4 linked regions of the Oryctolagus cuniculus genome follow. The protein of the gene in region 1 interacts with the protein of each later gene in a pairwise test. Links are inferred from orthologs where the notes say so. Each region holds a gene or a part of one and is shown on either strand. Other genes may lie near its edges. The genes, in order: VASP, ABI2, TRIM9 and ZYX.

What was found.
Region 2: the proteins of VASP (region 1) and ABI2 interact in binary tests that used the Homo sapiens proteins (3 or more experiments, as listed by UniProt). The link is inferred for Oryctolagus cuniculus from reciprocal best matches to the Homo sapiens genes VASP and ABI2.
Region 3: the proteins of VASP (region 1) and TRIM9 interact in binary tests that used the Homo sapiens proteins (3 or more experiments, as listed by UniProt). The two-hybrid records come from large-scale screens. The link is inferred for Oryctolagus cuniculus from reciprocal best matches to the Homo sapiens genes VASP and TRIM9.
Region 4: the proteins of VASP (region 1) and ZYX interact in binary tests that used the Homo sapiens proteins (3 or more experiments, as listed by UniProt). The link is inferred for Oryctolagus cuniculus from reciprocal best matches to the Homo sapiens genes VASP and ZYX.

The regions. Positions count from the first base shown.
Region 1 is NC_091449.1:11,377,207-11,381,064, forward strand, and holds the end of VASP (vasodilator-stimulated phosphoprotein), read right to left. Parts: coding exon 3,789-3,858; intron 3,490-3,788; coding exon 3,449-3,489; intron 3,348-3,448; coding exon 3,133-3,347; intron 3,018-3,132; coding exon 2,917-3,017; intron 2,557-2,916; coding exon 2,505-2,556; intron 2,433-2,504; coding exon 2,396-2,432; intron 2,276-2,395; coding exon 2,230-2,275; intron 2,128-2,229; coding exon 2,037-2,127; intron 1,643-2,036; coding exon 1,585-1,642; intron 1,456-1,584; coding exon 1,418-1,455; 3' UTR 642-1,417; downstream 1-641. UniProt on the Homo sapiens protein: Ena/VASP proteins are actin-associated proteins involved in a range of processes dependent on cytoskeleton remodeling and cell polarity such as axon guidance, lamellipodial and filopodial dynamics, platelet activation and cell migration.
Region 2 is NC_091434.1:36,683,275-36,687,132, reverse strand, and holds part of ABI2 (abl interactor 2), read left to right. Parts: intron 1-1,956; coding exon 1,957-2,133; intron 2,134-3,588; coding exon 3,589-3,606; intron 3,607-3,858. UniProt on the Homo sapiens protein: Regulator of actin cytoskeleton dynamics underlying cell motility and adhesion. Functions as a component of the WAVE complex, which activates actin nucleating machinery Arp2/3 to drive lamellipodia formation.
Region 3 is NC_091443.1:25,168,358-25,172,215, forward strand, and holds part of TRIM9 (E3 ubiquitin-protein ligase TRIM9), read left to right. Parts: intron 1-591; coding exon 592-714; intron 715-3,858. UniProt on the Homo sapiens protein: E3 ubiquitin-protein ligase which ubiquitinates itself in cooperation with an E2 enzyme UBE2D2/UBC4 and serves as a targeting signal for proteasomal degradation.
Region 4 is NC_091434.1:180,378,008-180,382,459, reverse strand, and holds the start of ZYX (zyxin), read left to right. Parts: upstream 1-1,465; 5' UTR 1,466-1,495; coding exon 1,496-1,657; intron 1,658-1,787; coding exon 1,788-2,010; intron 2,011-2,495; coding exon 2,496-2,695; intron 2,696-2,852; coding exon 2,853-2,945; intron 2,946-3,058; coding exon 3,059-3,601; intron 3,602-4,452. UniProt on the Homo sapiens protein: Adhesion plaque protein. Binds alpha-actinin and the CRP protein. Important for targeting TES and ENA/VASP family members to focal adhesions and for the formation of actin-rich structures.

The sequences.
Region 1 (3,858 bases):
ATGCAGGACCCCAGGGAGAACCGCTCTGAACCCCTCTGCTCTCAGCCCAGCCCCGTTACCTGCCCCAGACCCCGAGCTGACCCCGCCCTTCCTCCTCACTCTTCCAGCTCCCCCACCTGTCAGTCACATCCCACCTCCCACCCAGTCTGCTCCTCGGAGCTCTCAGAGGTCGCCCTTCCTGCCAAGGCCCCTCCAGGGAGCCCGCCCACCCGTCACCCGGACGGGCAGTCCTGCCTCCCCACTGGGGCGCGCGTGAGCTCTGGGACCTCTGAACTGCCTTGCCAGACTCTGTGTCCGTCATTGAAGCAGCTCCGGGGGAAACAGGTCATCTTGGGAACATGTCTGAGACGGTGGCGTCCACCTGCAGAGTGGGTCGGGTGTTGGGGAACTCTGGGGGAGCGGGGACAGGGTTGACCCCGGAGCGTTTGCCCAGTGGGGAAACCGCAGCCCTGCATGGACCCAGGGACCTGCCCTGGCTGTCTCCGGCATGAAGGGGACGGGGCAGGGGAGCGGCCTGGCCAGGGACCACGAGGGGTTCCAGCAGAGAACCCAGCGTCCGTCCATCCGTGCGTGAGGGAGAGGCATGGAGGACGGAGCCGGCCTCCGGCCCCTCACAGCAGCCCTGCCAATCACCCAGAGAGTTTAGCATTTGTAAAAACCGGCAGATTTATTCCACGGGGGCCCATTTTATGAGGCTGAGGGGGAGGTGGGGGCAGAGGCCGCCTCCCCCCTGTTTCGCCCTCATCTTCCCAAGGTGGGTGAAAATGGCCAGGGCCCCACCTACCCAAATACAAAACCAAAAAACTGAGGTTCCAAAAAGTTACAGCATCTTAATTCCTCATAGAAAAGGGGAAGGAGCCAGAGGGAGGGAAGTCCCCGGGGTGGGGGCGGCACCCCAGCCCGACAGGACGTCCCCCGGCAGCTGCCCCAACCAGGGCACGCCGAGGGCCACAGCATTAAAAACCCCCACACCCCATGTTATCAAAACCAAAGAGGCAAAAAAAAGTACCCTTCCCCCCCAAAACCCAAATATATATATATATTTATATACTTCTTAAAAAACAAAACTTCGAAGGCATTAAGCGTTAAAGTGAATCTAAACAAGGGAATGTGAATTCCCTCTTCCCTTCCCCCTTACTGTGGGGTTAATGGTACATCCCCAGCAGAGGAACCAGCCCCAAGGGGATGGCAGAGGGGAAGGACCAAAGGGAGCAAAGGGTGGGGGCCTCCCCAGCCAATCAGCAGCCAGTACGGGTGTGGGCACGGTGCAGGGAAGCCACACCCCCTTGGAATCTTCCAAGTGGGAGGGGGCAGGGGGAGATGCATTCCCGTGTAGTCTTCAGCCAATTCCACGTGGAGTCGAGGCAGGGAAGCAGGGTAACAGGCGGGGTGTGCGGAAAGAAGTGGGCCCCTGCGGTCAGGGGGAGCCCCGCTTCCTCAGCTCCTGGACAAAGGCTGGAAGGAAAGAGGGGGCAAAGCTCAGGGCAGGGGCTCTTTCCCCTTCCGTTCCAATCTTCCCAAAAGACAGGCGGCCTCCAAACCACACAGGCGCCTCACGGGGCGGGGCGCGGGCAGGCGCCTCACCTTCGATGATCTCCTCTTTCACCTTCCGCAGCTCCTTCCTCACCTCCTCCAGCAGCTCCTGGAACCACAGGGTTCACCAGTGGGCGGGGCCCGGAGCGGCAGGAAGCCCCCTGTCTCCCACTCGCTGAGAGTCGGAGGAAGCGGGCTGGAGACCGCCCGGCCCCGCCCTCCCTGCCAAGGTCACAGAGAGAACTGGAGGGCATCCAGGACACAGGCTGGCAAACGCCTCCCAGCCTCCTGCCAGCTCCGGCGGGGTCTCAGGTGCTCATCGGAAAGGAGTGTGGTGATGGATTATAAGGCCTGTCACAGCCGTTGAAAGGGGTGCGGCACCTGCGTCATCCCTGACCCCGCCGATGGCTCCCCCTTCTCAGACCGGACACCCAGGGTCTGGACCCAGCGCCCCTCCTGCCGTGGGCCCTGGCTAGGCCCCCACCTGCACCTTCCACCCCTACCTGTTTCACCCGCTCCAGGTCCGAGTCGTCACCGGAGCTGTGGTGGGAGGGGTGGGCCTCGGGGGTGGCCACCGAAGACGAGGACTTCATCCTGGGGGGGACAGAAGCGAAGTCAGAGGCCCTGCCACCCGCGGAGGCGCCGCGCCCGCCGCGCCCCCCGCGCCCGCTGCGCCCGCCGCGCCCGCCGGCCCACCTGGGCAAGGTCGTGCTGTTCTTCTCCCAGGGCCTCCGCACAGATTCTGGGGAGCAGGCAACAAACCGCAAGGTCAGGGCAAAGGATTCCTCCCCCAGCCAGCAGCCCCTCTGCAGAGAAACCCCCAGGAGAGGCCCGCCCCTCCCCCGGGCCGCCCGGCACTCACCGCTGTGGACCGGGACGCGGGCCTCTGGCTCCTCCTGCTGGCAGGAAATGAAACCGTCATGAGCAGCCCCGCCACGCTGCCCCGGGACCCCACCGAGCCCCTCACTCACACTGGCAGATTCGTCCTTGGGGGGCTTCTCGCCAACCTGCGAGGCTTTCCTCCTGCGGGAGGGAGGGACGAGAAGAGAAGCCTCAGCCCCCCCACTCGCAGCTGCGGGCCCAGGGTTCTAGAAAGTGGCCCTTGTGTGTGGGGGGGGGGGGGGCTGCACGGCCAAGGCTAAGGAAGCTGGGATGGGGGGGGGTCTTCCTGTGGCCCTCACATCTGGAACCCTAACGTCCTAAGGGGGGAAGGGACTCTGGGAACTAAAATCCTAGGAGTCAGTTTCTAGAACATTCCGCAGGCGCCACAGGTAGGGCTTTCAGCACAAGCAGCAAACAGGAACCAGAGCCCGCCCCCCGCCCCCGCCCCCCCGCCAGCCTGCAGGGCTGGGGTCCCAGGCAGGGGGGTGGGCCCAGGCTCACCTCCGGGCCAACATGGCGTTCATCTCCTCCATGAGCCCCCCGCCTGTGCTCCGGCCACTCTCAGCTTTGGGGCCCGGGGGCCCCCCTGAGACTTCCTCTTGCTGAGGACGGTAAAAGGGAGCAGAGGGCTTGCGGGTGGGCCTCCCGTGACAGGCAGCCCCCAGCCCATTGTTACCTCAGGGCCAGCCCCCCCCCCCCCCCCCGCGGGCCCCTCACCTTGCTGACTTTCCTGAGTTTGGCTCCAGCAATGGCTGCGGCCAGGCCGGGGGCTCCAGTCCCCCCACCACTGGGGCCCTGGGCTGTGGGGAGAGGGGGTGCAGGGGGTGGGCCCCCCCCTGCCGGGGGCAGCCCTGGGGGTGGGGGGGGACCCGGCGGAGGGGGCGGTCCTGGAGGCGGGGGTGGGCCCCCGGCTGGGGGAGCAGGCGGGCCTCCTGAAACAAGGCAGAGCAGGGGTGGCTCAGAGAGGAGCCAGCCCCTCCTCCAGGGGGGGCTCTGGGCTCGGCCCGCCCCCCACCCCCGCAAGCCCAGTTACCTGCGTTGCACACGCGGCGCTCCATCTGCTCCGGCTGCTGCCTGTGGGGGGGACTGCGGTCACCACCGCCCCGGCCCCTCCGCAGGGCCCAAGGGGTGGCGCGGGAATGTTCTAGACTGTCACCGACACCCGGGGTCCTCTCAGGACGAGGGTTTGGGGACTGGGGGTCCTGCGTCTCTGAGCGCCAGGGATTTTCTTAAAGTCTCAGAGGTGGGGGCTCCCAAAAGCGGGCAACTCCTAGTCCCTGGGGAGTTGGAACATTCTGGAAACTGGACGTCGGAGGATGCTGGGACATCTAGAATCTGGCAGTAAGGGCCCCCAGCCAAGGGGCCAGCCCTACCTTTTGTGCTGCTCCACCTCTTCCGGGGAGGGGCCGTTCTGGCTGGCCCACGCGGCAGGTGCTGGGGGCG
Region 2 (3,858 bases), on another chromosome or scaffold:
GAGAGAGGAAGAGGCAGAGAGAGAGAGAGAGAGAGAGGTCTTCCATTGGCTGGTTCACTTCCCAGTGGCTGCAGTGGCTGGGACTGCGCCAGGCCAAAGCCAGGAGCCAGAAATTCTAGCTGGGTCTCCCACACAGGTGGCAGGGCCCACGTGCTCGGGCCATCCGCTGCTGCTTCCCCAGGCACATTAGCAGGGAGCTGGATTGGAAATGGAGCAGCTGGGACTTGAACTGATGCCAGTATGGATAAACCAAGGTCATTGGCAGCAGCTTAACTCCTTCAGCCACAACACCAGCCCCATATCTTTTTAATTCTGTTATCTTTCACACTTTGTGAAGGACTTCTGTGACAAACATGCTTTTGGAAATGTACTTACCTTACTGTGGTACATTCAATGTGATGTTTCTGTCTTATTTCACTTGAAATAATGAATGTTTACATGCCACTAAATTGCAAATTTCAGTTTTAAAAAATGTTTTTTAGTGTGTTAATTACCTGCATATGTGGAGAACTTCACTGTGTTTTGAAGACTGTGAGTAAAAACACAGTGTCATTCTATTGTAAATTATGTGCTATGTGAGCATTTAATAAATAGAAATTAATGAAATATTTGTTTAGTAATATTTTGTCACTAATAACTCATTTTTGATGCTGTATTTAATTTTTAGCTCTCCCATTTCTTACATAAAAAAATTTAAATAGTAACTGAAATTTATACTAATTATTTTTAAAATGTAACCAGATTAGTTATTGGGGTCCTCATAATCATATTCTGTTAAATTTTTTAAAATATATTTATTTTTATTTGCTTGAAAGGCAGAAAGAGAGAGAGAGAGAGAAAGAGAAAATGAATGAATCTTTCATTTACTGATTCACTCCCCAAGTACTTGCAAGAGCCATGAGTCTGGAACTTCATCCAGGTCTTCGGACTGGGTGGTAGGGGCCCAAGCACTGGAACTACCATTTGCTGCCCGCCAAAATGCACCAGCAGGAAGTTGGTTGAGAAGTGGAAGAGTAGGGACTCGAACTGGCACTCCGAAATAGTTGTGGGGCCCAAAAATAGCTGTGCCATATGGTTACCCTCCCTTCTCCCCCAGTTTAATGTAGAGGAAGGATTACATGCTTTAACCTGGAAGTTGGCAGTTTTTTCCTATAAAGGGACAAGCTAATGAATGCTAAGGCTTTGTGGTTCATAAAGTCTTTGTTGGGACTGCTCCTGTCTGATCTTGTAGCCAGCCATGGGGGAGTAAGCAAGTTATTTACGTCAGCGTGACTATTCCAATATTTACTTAGGGAAACTGAATTTTGAGATTCCTTCTTAAAACAATCATTTAAAATTATTCTGTTTTCTCTTACTTGAGAAACAAAGTTAGACTTTCCATCCACTAGTTCATTTTCCAAATATGCTCAACAGCCAGGGCTGTGCTAGGCCAAAGCCAGTGACCCCAGACTCCACTGGGATATGCTGTGTAGGTGGCAGGGCCTGAAGCGCCTGAGCCATCATCTGGCCCCCAGAGTGTCTGCTAGTAGAAAGCTGAACTTGGGAGACAGGACTCGAAAGCAGGCACTGCAGTCTAGGATGCATGTGTCCCAAGCAGTGTCTTAGCTGCTGTGCCAAATGCCTGACCCTGAAATTGGATTTTCATGTAATTTTCACGTCACCACATTATTTTTCTTTTGATATATTTTTTTTCCATCAAACATTAAAAAAACACAAACACTACTTTTAGCTTGTGGGATATTAAAAATCAGTTGGTGGTCAGATTTGGCCTGTGGTCTGTGGTTTTCCAACCCTCGCATTAGCCAAAAAATGGATAAAGTCAGTAGTTAAGAAAAGAGAAAATTTAACTTGCATAGTTGAGAATAGAAGCAAGCAATGTTAAATTGGGGATATTTATGAGTTTTTCTAGTTATCAGCCCTATACATTTTCTGGTTGTGTTTTTTTGTATTTTACAGACAGTTGATATTCATAAAGAGAAAGTTGCAAGAAGAGAAATTGGAATTTTGACTACCAATAAAAACACTTCAAGGACACATAAGATTATTGCTCCAGCCAACCTTGAACGGCCAGTTCGTTATATTAGAAAACCTATTGACTATACAATTCTAGATGACATTGGACATGGAGTAAAGGTAGGTATGATTTTTGTCAAGCTTTTTAAAATAGTAGCCCATACTGGAACTAACTCTTTTTAAGCTTTTATCTCTCCTTTCCTAGAGAACCAAGTCTTCACTCAGTTGTGGTTGTGAAGATTGCTTGCTGTTATAACTCTTTTATCTTTCCTTTTTTTTTTCTTAGTGCTGTACTCTCAAGTTTTAAACAGTCACCTTTGAATTGCATCTGCTTCATTATATTGCCAAATATATATTGAGTTTATGTGGTATAATCTTCTAATGATTATTGATTGATTAAAAATTACTCAACCTGTTAATAAAGTGATTATCTCATTTCAGTTTATCAGCAGACTTGGCATTAGTTTTCAGAAAAAAGATATATTAATAAATATGTACTTTGAATTTTTATAAAATTATTTTATCAGTATTTTGTATGAGAGTAGTATAGCTACCCAGCACTTTTGAGTATGTGGACATTATACATTTTGGCTGTGTTTTAAGATGTATTTGAGTGTCTGGTGTATGTATTATAATTAGTACTGAGAAACGCGAATTTCATTTTAATTGGTATTTATATTTAAACTATTCAGATCTTCGGATAAATATTAGGTTGTTCGAAGTTTACATCTGCTGATTTGAAGGACAGTGACTTATCAAATGTGACTTTGAATAAATACATGTAAATGCCTGTCATGAAACTTTACAGTTCAAACAGTTGTTTTTTTCTAATATAAGTGTAGTTAAATAAAACACCTACACCATAATGGCTGGAAATAAAATAAATCTAAATTTAATTTATATCTGACTGAAAAAACATATAATATAAATTCATTTTTAAAATCTTTTTCTCCCTCAGAGTTTAGATATAGCCATTATTATCTGGAATTTTGTATTTAATTTTATAATTGATACCTAAATGCATTCAGATTATTATCCTAACTAGAGCATGTTGAAAAAGGATGTTTAATTGGATGGTTAATTAATGGCTGGGATTTATTCTAACTTGGGAAAATTTATTCAAGGCTAACAACTGCTAATAGAGTGTTAGGGTACTGCCAGAATCTAATGCCAAGAGACAGTTTTGTGGTACAGACATCACAGTTGTGCTTGCCTGCTTCTACAGTAAGAAGATGATTCTCCTCCCTCTTTGTTTGATCCTCACAGTCAATGTTACTCTTTTAGGACTCCGTAGTCCTTTCATTGTTTGGAGTCACTAATGTGAAGAAGTCTTTAGTAAAACTAAGCTTTTGAATAAAAGAGTATCTTAAATAATTTCATCCAGGAAACTCCTGTTCATGACACATTCTGCTTTAACCACTCTTTCTATGATCTACTGAAACATTATTTTGTTAATGCTGAATGCTTAACTTGTTTTTTCGTTTTTTTTCCTTTCTCTTCACATCCTGAAGTTCCAACTAACCTTTCAATGCTTTTTTTCCTTACCTCTTTTATTTGCTCCATTTATGCATTAAGTGGTTGCTTAGATTTAAGGTAAGAGATTCCAGGGCTGGATTTCCATTCTTTGTTCTTATGTGGAATATTACATATGGGGAGTCATGAGATATTTGGCACTTGGCCTAAAACCAACAAGTAATTCCTCTTCTTTACTGTACTTTTTTTGTCTTCCAAGTTTGCGATGTGTCTTCATGTACCTTGAAGGCAGATGTTTTTGTCTGTTTTGTTCACTACTCTATCCTTTGTGCCTAAAACAGTGTCTGACATGCATTAAATACTTTGTAAATA
Region 3 (3,858 bases), on another chromosome or scaffold:
ATTCAGTGAGAGAATTGGTTGAAAGAAATATCTATGGCATGTACAGATTTAAAATTTTTTCAGATTTTTAGAAATAAAAATTTCATGCCCAGCATTTAATTTAGACATTCTGGGGATGCTAGCGCTGAGTTAGTATAGGCACCTTTCCTCCCGCAAGCTGTGGGTCCGTGAATGGTTTTCAGAGCATGCTCACCGTACTGGCACAAACTCTGGTTGTTCGGAACTGCCATGCCCCTTCCTTCCCGGTGCTTGCTGACTGCCACGTGCCACTAGGTGTGGCGGAGCCTGTCTAGCGCCACAAACCAAGGCTTCATTGAGCTTAACATCTTCCAGACCGTGTAGATGGCTTCCTTTTGATTAAAAAAAAAAGACTTAGATGATAAATATTTGTCATTTTCCATCTAAATTTCAAACAAAAACTCTGCCACTCTAGAGCGAAGCTCGCCCAGTTGTGTTTTATGAACACACAGAGTTCTTGTTCATTCCCCTCAGCAGGGGTCTCTGTGCCATGCATGGACAGGGAGGCTCCTGCTCCCCTGGTAGCCGGGGGGCCCCGTGCCCTGCAGCTGAGAAATGCCCTCTCTCACGCAGGAGAACAGTGTGGAGTTCGAGGCCTGCCTGGTGGCCCAGTGTGACGCCCTCATCGATGCCCTCAACAGAAGGAAGGCGCAGCTGCTGGCCCGCGTCAACAAGGAGCACGAACACAAGCTGAAGGTGAGCACTGGGCCCGCCCTGCAGACAGCAGGGACCGAGGAGCCAGCGGTCACGACGGAAGAAAGGGCTGGATGCCCGCAGCCTTGGGTGGCCGGTGGCCTGGCCAGATGGGAGAAGGCACAGCCCTCCGTTCACTACTTCATGTCTACATGTTTACCTAGCCAATGTCAGTTGAGTAAAACTGCTCTGGGTGCAGGAAAAATAAACAAATCAAAATCGCTGCCTTTGTGGGGCTTCTATTCTGTCAGGAGAGAGACACAGTAAGCACGAGAATTAAGCCAGACGTGCAGTGTTAGCAAACGTTGCTAAATAAGCAAAAGAAGACAGGAAAGGGGGATGATGAGCCTTGAGGTGGGGGTTGAAATTTTAGATGGGGTGGCCACAAAGAGTCAGAAATGTGTTTGTGAGTAAGGAAATGGAATCTTTAGAATCTAAACAAACAAGCTTTGTCTTAGCTTCTGAAGGGAACCTTAATATTGGACAGCTGGATAGACTTTTGTCACCACACAGTGGAATTGACTGAATACCAGTCTGGGGCCCGATTGGCAGGACTGGTTTCCCTGGAGACACGTGATGTCCCATTTGTTACCCTGTGAGAGCAGGGCAAGAAGATGTGAGAAGATGTGGGTAGGCAAATGGGAAGAGCCAGGCAGAAGGGAGTCCAGCAGTGGGCAGTCAGCTGAGGCCTGCCCGCACAAGCCTCAGGGTGACTCACAGTGGGCGGACGGTGGGGAGAGGGGAGTGTGCAGTGTTGGCCTGGGGCTGTGTGTTGAGGTCAGGCAGTCAGCATCCAGCTGCTTCAGTAGTAGGCGACAGTGAGTAGGGACAGCCTCCAGAGAGCTGATGACAAGTGACAGCACAGTGTCAGGTTAGCAGTAGGCGCTAGTCCCTAGAGATCAAGAGAAGGCCCCATGTCTAAAGAGTGAGGTTCCTGTAGGTGAACCAAGGAGGAGTTTCAAGAATGAAGAAACAAAGGAACACAGCTTACAAATGTCAGGGGGTAAAGCTTGGTGGCTGACATCCTTTGAGTTGGCTTAGTACCTACATAGTGCCTACAGGCAAGACCTGTGGTAGGCAAACTGGCAATGCCGAGCTCCGAGCAGCAGAGCACCCCTTCGTCGTAGGCCCCTGAGTCTCACTTAGCTCTGCTGTGAAGACAGCATCCAGGCAGCGTGAGAGAAGCGTTTGCCCAGAGAAGCTTCAGAGCTCACTCCCAAGATAAACAGAACCCCAGCTGTAGCTTCCCCCTCTGCGTATCCCTCCTCTGCTCCCCACCTGCAGCTCTTCAAAACACATTCAGACCCACACATCTGCTCCCTCCTGTCCCAGCGCCAGGGCAAGCGTGTGGTAGGGACATAAACCTTTCTTCCCCGCCTTTGTGAATTACCATGGAGAAGAGGGGACGGTGGAAATGAGGCAGGCAGAAGGGGACCGGGCGGGCCTGAACCTCCAGCCGGGGTCGGGGCTGTGTCCCAGTGTGTTCCTGACAGCAACAGCACGATTTTATCAAGGAGAGGTGCAGCAGATTGTTTAATACAGACAACTGCGTGTCTTGAAGCTGGACTCTAACCATGAGGAAGGAAAGAAAAGCACCCCAGGGCTGCAATGTTCAAGGGACCGTAACCTGTTGGTCTGGCAGGAAACAAAGGCTGGCAGTGCTAACGGCTCCTTCCAGGGTGGCTGTTGATGTTTCCCGATGGAGGGCCTGACCAACAGACCCTCCCAGCTGGATCTTAGAATGAACTCGAGCCCAGCCTTATGGAACCTTCGAGCTGGAGCTAAAGCTAATAATAAGGCCTGGGACTCTCCGAGGGTGGCTCCCTCTGTAGCTTGTGTCATGCATAGTCCATAAAGTGCCCAGTGATGGGGACTTTTACCTACGTGGCTTTCTTTTAGTTCATCGTTTTCCAGGCCCCTGTCTCCTAAAGCTGTGATCAGGTTATTTGTTTTTGAATTCCCCAAAGAGATACTGAGCTATGATTCATGGCAGCATATGTGGTAACTCCTGAAATGTGGGGGAAGACGTGGGGGCAGTCTTACGGATACTTTTTTACCCAAAGAGTTCTGAAAGTTTTGCCGTGTGGATATCCATCTTACAGATTTACTTTGCAACCATCTGGAAAAGGGTTCTGTTCCATAAGCGTTTTCATCCAAGTTAAGTTAGGTCTGGGTGAAAAAAATTTTTTTCTAGAATCACTGTTTCTTATCTGGATTAAAATCAGAAATATGGTTCTCTAGTCACCCAATCTGCAATACTGAATGAGCATCCTTGGTGACCCAGTCCTGGCTTTCATAATGACAGGGCCGGCACTGTGGCATAGCAGGTAAAGCCGCCGCTTGCACTGCTGGCATTCCATGTGAGCTCCACTTTGAGTCCAGGCTGCTCTGCTTTCGACCCAGCTCCCTGCTAATGTGCCCAAGAGGGTGGCCTCTGCATCTATGGCTCCCGGCTCCCGGCTCCCGGCTCCTGGCTTCTGGCTCCTGGCTCCTGGCTCCTGGCTTCGGCCTGGGCCAGCCCTCTTTGTTGCAACCATTTGGGGAGTGAACTAGCAGAACCAATGGATGGAAGATCTCTTTCTCTCTCTTTCTCTTCCTCTCTCTCTGTGATTCTGCCTTTCAAATAAATAAATAAATCTTTTTCTAAAATAATGGCAATAGCTACACTTTGAGAACACTTTCTATGAAGGAATGTCATACAGATCGTGTTGTGGGGATCTTCTCTGTTACTGCCTACAACAGTTCTATGGTGTCATTATCACTATTATTTCTGTACTGGAAGTGAGGAAGCTACAGCACCATGGCACTCAGAACTGGTCCAAGGAACCAAAATTTGAGCCATGATAGCCTAGCTTTGGAGCCCAGAGTCCAAGGCACAGCACACTATTGCCTTTGACTGGTAGAAGTACCCTCGGAGAGAAGGCATTTCCATCCGTCAGCCATAACTCACACACACCTGTTATCATTGCCCACAAATGATGCCCACAGAGGTAGAAGGCAGGCAAGCTTCTAGGAAAGAGGTAACCAATGCCACCTCTCACAGGTTGTAAGGAGGACAATATATTACTTACAGCTAAAGAGTCACAGCACCTCATAGAAGAACTAGGCCCAAAGTAGCCCAAACTATGAGAGGTGTGTGTTGATGGC
Region 4 (4,452 bases), on another chromosome or scaffold:
GGAGTGAACCAAGATGGAAGACCTCTCTCTTTGTGTTTCCCTCTCTCTGTAACTCTGCTTCTCAAATAAATAAGTCTTTTAAAAAATAATAACACTGAGGATTATATAGCACTTGCAGACATGGCATTTCATTTACTTCTGTAGAATGCAGTAAGCGGGGTGGGTGAAACACCATGGCTCTTTCACAAGTGGAGAAGGGGAAGTGGGAAGAGGCCGGCTGGCCTGGGCGTCAGGCTGGCCCTAGCATTGCTCCACCTGACGGCAGGTGCTGGAGGAAGCCGGCTGCTTCGTGGGTGTGACCGGGCCCACCCCCTCAGCGGGCAGCCTCCACTTCCCCAGCGTGAAGTAAGGGGCGAGTCTGGATGCTCTCAAAAGCATCTCCCAGATGCTCCTTGGCAGTGGGGTTCAGTCGGTTTGGAGGGCCAGGGCGGAGACACTGAGTCAACAAGAGGTCTGTTTCAGATGTCACTCAGGGCTGATGGAATGAGAGAGTGGAGAGTGGGTGGATACTGGACTAGAGGGCAAAGGCCTAGACTCCATAGCTTTGCAAGCGTGGAGTTCAGCCACTGGGTAAGTTTCCGTGCGCAATTAAAAAATAAAAAGTGGCACTCAGGTTTGGTCTCCTTGGCGTAGCCTGGGGCTGAGCAACCCGGTCGGATGAGTGGGGGCTCTACCGAGCTGTGTCGCTCGGGAGGCTCCCGAAGGCGTGGGTCGCGGCGGAGGCTCAGCTGTGGCAGGCTTGTTGCTCGCGTCCACGTCTCCCCGGGTCCTACTAGATCCTCCGGCTGCCCTGGCCAGGGCTGAGCAGCCCCCTACCTACCTCCCTCGGGCCCGCTGGTCCAGAATATCTCTGGCGCAACTGATCCGCAGCCGGGGGCGCCAGTGTTGCGAATTCCTAGAAGCCTGCAGAGGCTGCCTAGGGTTGGAAGTTACGATACCCCTAGGTCGCAAGAGGTTCAGGCTCACACAGCCACCGATCGCCGAAGGGCCTGCCAGGAGGGCGCGGGACGAGAACGGCCCTGGTCCTGGTCCTGCAGCCAGCGCTGGCCGGTGGGTTCTCGGGGCGCGGTGCTGCCGACGGCGTGGGAGGTGCAGCCGTGAGGGTGGCAGGGCCGCAGGTAACTGCAGGCCCCAGAGGAGGCGGCTGGGCCAGGGCGGAGGCGCAAGGGGGCTGCTCGCTCCGTTGCCTCGGGGGACCCTTTCGACCTCCGCCGGCTCAGCCCGGAGTGGGGCCAGTGAGTCAGATCTCCGGCACCCGCTGACGGGCGCGGAGTTGGGGGTGGGGGGGCAGGTCAGGAAATGACATCAGAGGCCTGTGCTCAGGGAGGGGTGGTCTGCGACCGGCCAGGGCTGCGAGCACGGCTGGGAGTGCGGCGGGGGCGGGCGGACCTTAGCGGAGCCCTCGGCCCAGGGCAGGATCTGGGCCCCTTCCTGGGGGAGTTTCCTGCCGCGCCCGCCCTGTCTCTCCCCGCCCCCTCTCCGGGCCGCTCCTTGTATGGTCGCGGCGCCGCTCTCTCCCCGCCCCCTGCCGCCCTCCCTCCTCTTCCCTGCGTCCCTCCCCCGCCTGGCTGGAGGCTGCTCGGGACCGGGACGCACAGTCCGCAGACCCGGCGCCGAGGCGGCCACTGGAGACGCGGCGCGCACGCTCCGGTCCGCGGTGAGGCGCGGGGCGCGGGGCTCCGGGAGGCGGCGGGTGGGGGTCGTCGGGAGGCGCTCGGGCCTCCGGGGGAGTCTCCTGCCCAGCCCAGCGCAGTTCGGCGCCGCGTAACCTGGAGACCCACCCCCAGCAGCCCGGCCAGGCCATGGCGGCCCCCCGCCCGCCTCCCGCGATCTCCGTCTCGGTCTCGGCTCCGGCGTTTTACGCCCCGCAGAAGAAGTTCGGCCCGGTGGTGGCACCGAAGCCCAAAGTAAATCCTTTCCGGCCCGGGGACGGCGAGCCTCCAGCGGCAGCCGGGGCCCAGCGCGCACAGATGGGCCGGGTGGGCGAGATCCCCCCGCCGCCCCCGGAAGGTATGCGGCAGGGCTGAGGGGCTGGACCCCCGCGGGCGGCGGGGTGGGGGCAGTGGGATTGAGCAAGGGGCGGGGGGACGCCTGCAAAGGTAGCTGCGGAGGGGGCTGGGTGCAGCCACCCTGTCCCGAGCAGATGTTCTTACCTCATCGTGGAGCTCATGGCTGGGAGCCAGGGCTCCTGGGATCGTTCCAAGTCCCCGCCTGGGGGTGGGAGGCGGGAATGTGGGCCACGAATCTTCCCCTGTGGGTCCGTTTTCCCAAGTGTAACGGGAGCCGCACCACTCCTCGGCCGTGCCCCCCCACCTCCGGCCTTTCCTGACCTGTGCCCCCCTGGGCGCCCTGCACCCCTCCTTTCCCTTCCCGCACACTCCAGGACCCCCGAGGCAGTTCTTGGGTTAGGGTTAGAGTCAGAGCTGTGGACGGAGGGCAGCTTGGGGCAGCGGTGGCGGGGCCGCTGCCGATGGCCGCTTCTCTCCCCGCCCTAGACTTTCCCTTACCCCCGCCTCCCCCACCTGGGGATGGCGACGACGCGGAGGGTGCGCTGGGAGGTGCCTTCCCCCCGCCGCCTCCCCCGATCGAGGAACCGTTCCCCCCTGCACCTTCCGAGGAGGACATCTTTCCTTCTCCACCGCCCCCGCTGGAGGATGAGGGCACGCCCGAGGCCCCCATGCCGCCCCCGCCGCAGGTATGGAGGCCTGGGGAGGGGTCAGTGCACTGGGACGCCTCAAGGAAAGGAGAGAAGGGGGCCTGCTGTGACCTGCCCCTGTACCTCTGCCCTGTTGCGGGAGGGGTGGCGTGGGAATGGGAGACGGGGATGGATGCTCTGACCCCTGATCCTGTAGCCCAGGGAGAAGGTGAGCAGCATCGACCTGGAGATCGACTCTCTGTCCTCACTGCTGGATGACATGACCAAGAATGATCCCTTCAAAGCCCGGGTAAGGGCCTGGGGAGTAGGCACCCTGAGTGCCAGGGAGGAGAGACTGGAGAAGGAAGCGTGGAGGGCAGCCCCTGCCTCTAACTTGCTTCTCTCCCTCTGCCTCTCTTGCAGGTGTCATCTGGATATGTGCCCCCTCCAGTTGCCACTCCATTCATTCCCAAGTCCAGTACTAAGCCTGCGACCGGGGGCACAGCACCCTTGCCCCCCTGGAAGGCACCTCCCAGCTCCCAGCCCGTGTCCCAGCCTCAGAGCCAAGCGCTGTTCCATGTCCAGCCCCAGGCTCAGCCCCAGGCCCAGCCCCAGACCAAGCCTCAGGTCCAGCTGCATGTGCAGCCTCAGCCCCAGGCTCATTCCCAGCCTGTGTCTTCCGCTAACGCGCAGTCCCGAGGTCCTCCAGCTCCACCTCCAGCACCAGCCCCTAAGTTTTCTCCAGTGGCTCCCAAGTTTACTCCCGTGGCTTCCAAGTTCAGCCCTGGAGCCCCCGGTGGCCCTGGGTCACAGCCCAGTCAAAAGCTGGGACCTCCGGAAGCTGCTTCTTCCACTGGCACGGGTTCCCCTCAACCCCCCAGCTTCACCTATGCTCAGCAGAAAGAGAAGCCCCGCGTGCAGGAGAAGCAGCACCCAGTGCCCCCACCTGCTCAGAAGCAAAACCAGGTGAGGGGGCGAGATAGGTCAGGGCCGAGACCAGGGTGCTGGGGGAGGGAATCACAGTGGAGGTGGCTTGGGAGAGATGGGGTGGGCATCAGTGTGGTGGGTCCATCGGTCAGACAATGGGAAGGGAGAGAGTTTCTGCAGGGGCTGGCTGGGGCGTGGCTCCAGATTTGGAATTAGAGGATTTGGTGCACATTCTCTTGCGCTTCTGCCCTGGGAGGTTAAAGGGGAGGATGACATCACCGGTCCAATGTTGGTTTTTCCCCATTCCTGGGCCTTAAGTTAATCTCGCAGCTCCTCTGGTCCTTTCACTGCCCGAGGGCCCATCTGGAGATAAGAGCCACAGCCCCAGTAAACAAAGACTGAGCCAACATCAGCTGGATGCCAGGCACTGTGTTCTGTGCTCTGGAGTCTGGGACAAGGGAGCGAAGTGATCTCCCAGAGAGGTTTGGCCTCCGGGTGTCAGATGGGGCTGGGATAGAATCCCCAGCTCCACATCTCATCTGCTGTTTGGGCAAGTTAGGTGAACTCCAAGCCCCAGTTTCCCCTTTAAAAATTAACACTACCCCATATAGTGGTTGTGAAGAGTAATTGGATGAATGCTTGCGAAGTGCTGGGTTCGGTATTACATAAATGCCCTAAATGGAAAAGCACGAGGCAAAGCGTGCCCTGCAGTTCGGATGAGATCTTGTGAGTTAAAGCGACCCTGAGGGACCTCTAATCCAAGCATCCAGAGAGTCATCTGATAGCATCCATGTCTGAGGATACTCAGGTACTGTACAGGAAGAAATGCCAGGTGCCAGTGAGATTTGCGGAATTGCACAAGTTACAGGAACTCAGAACAGGGAGCCAGC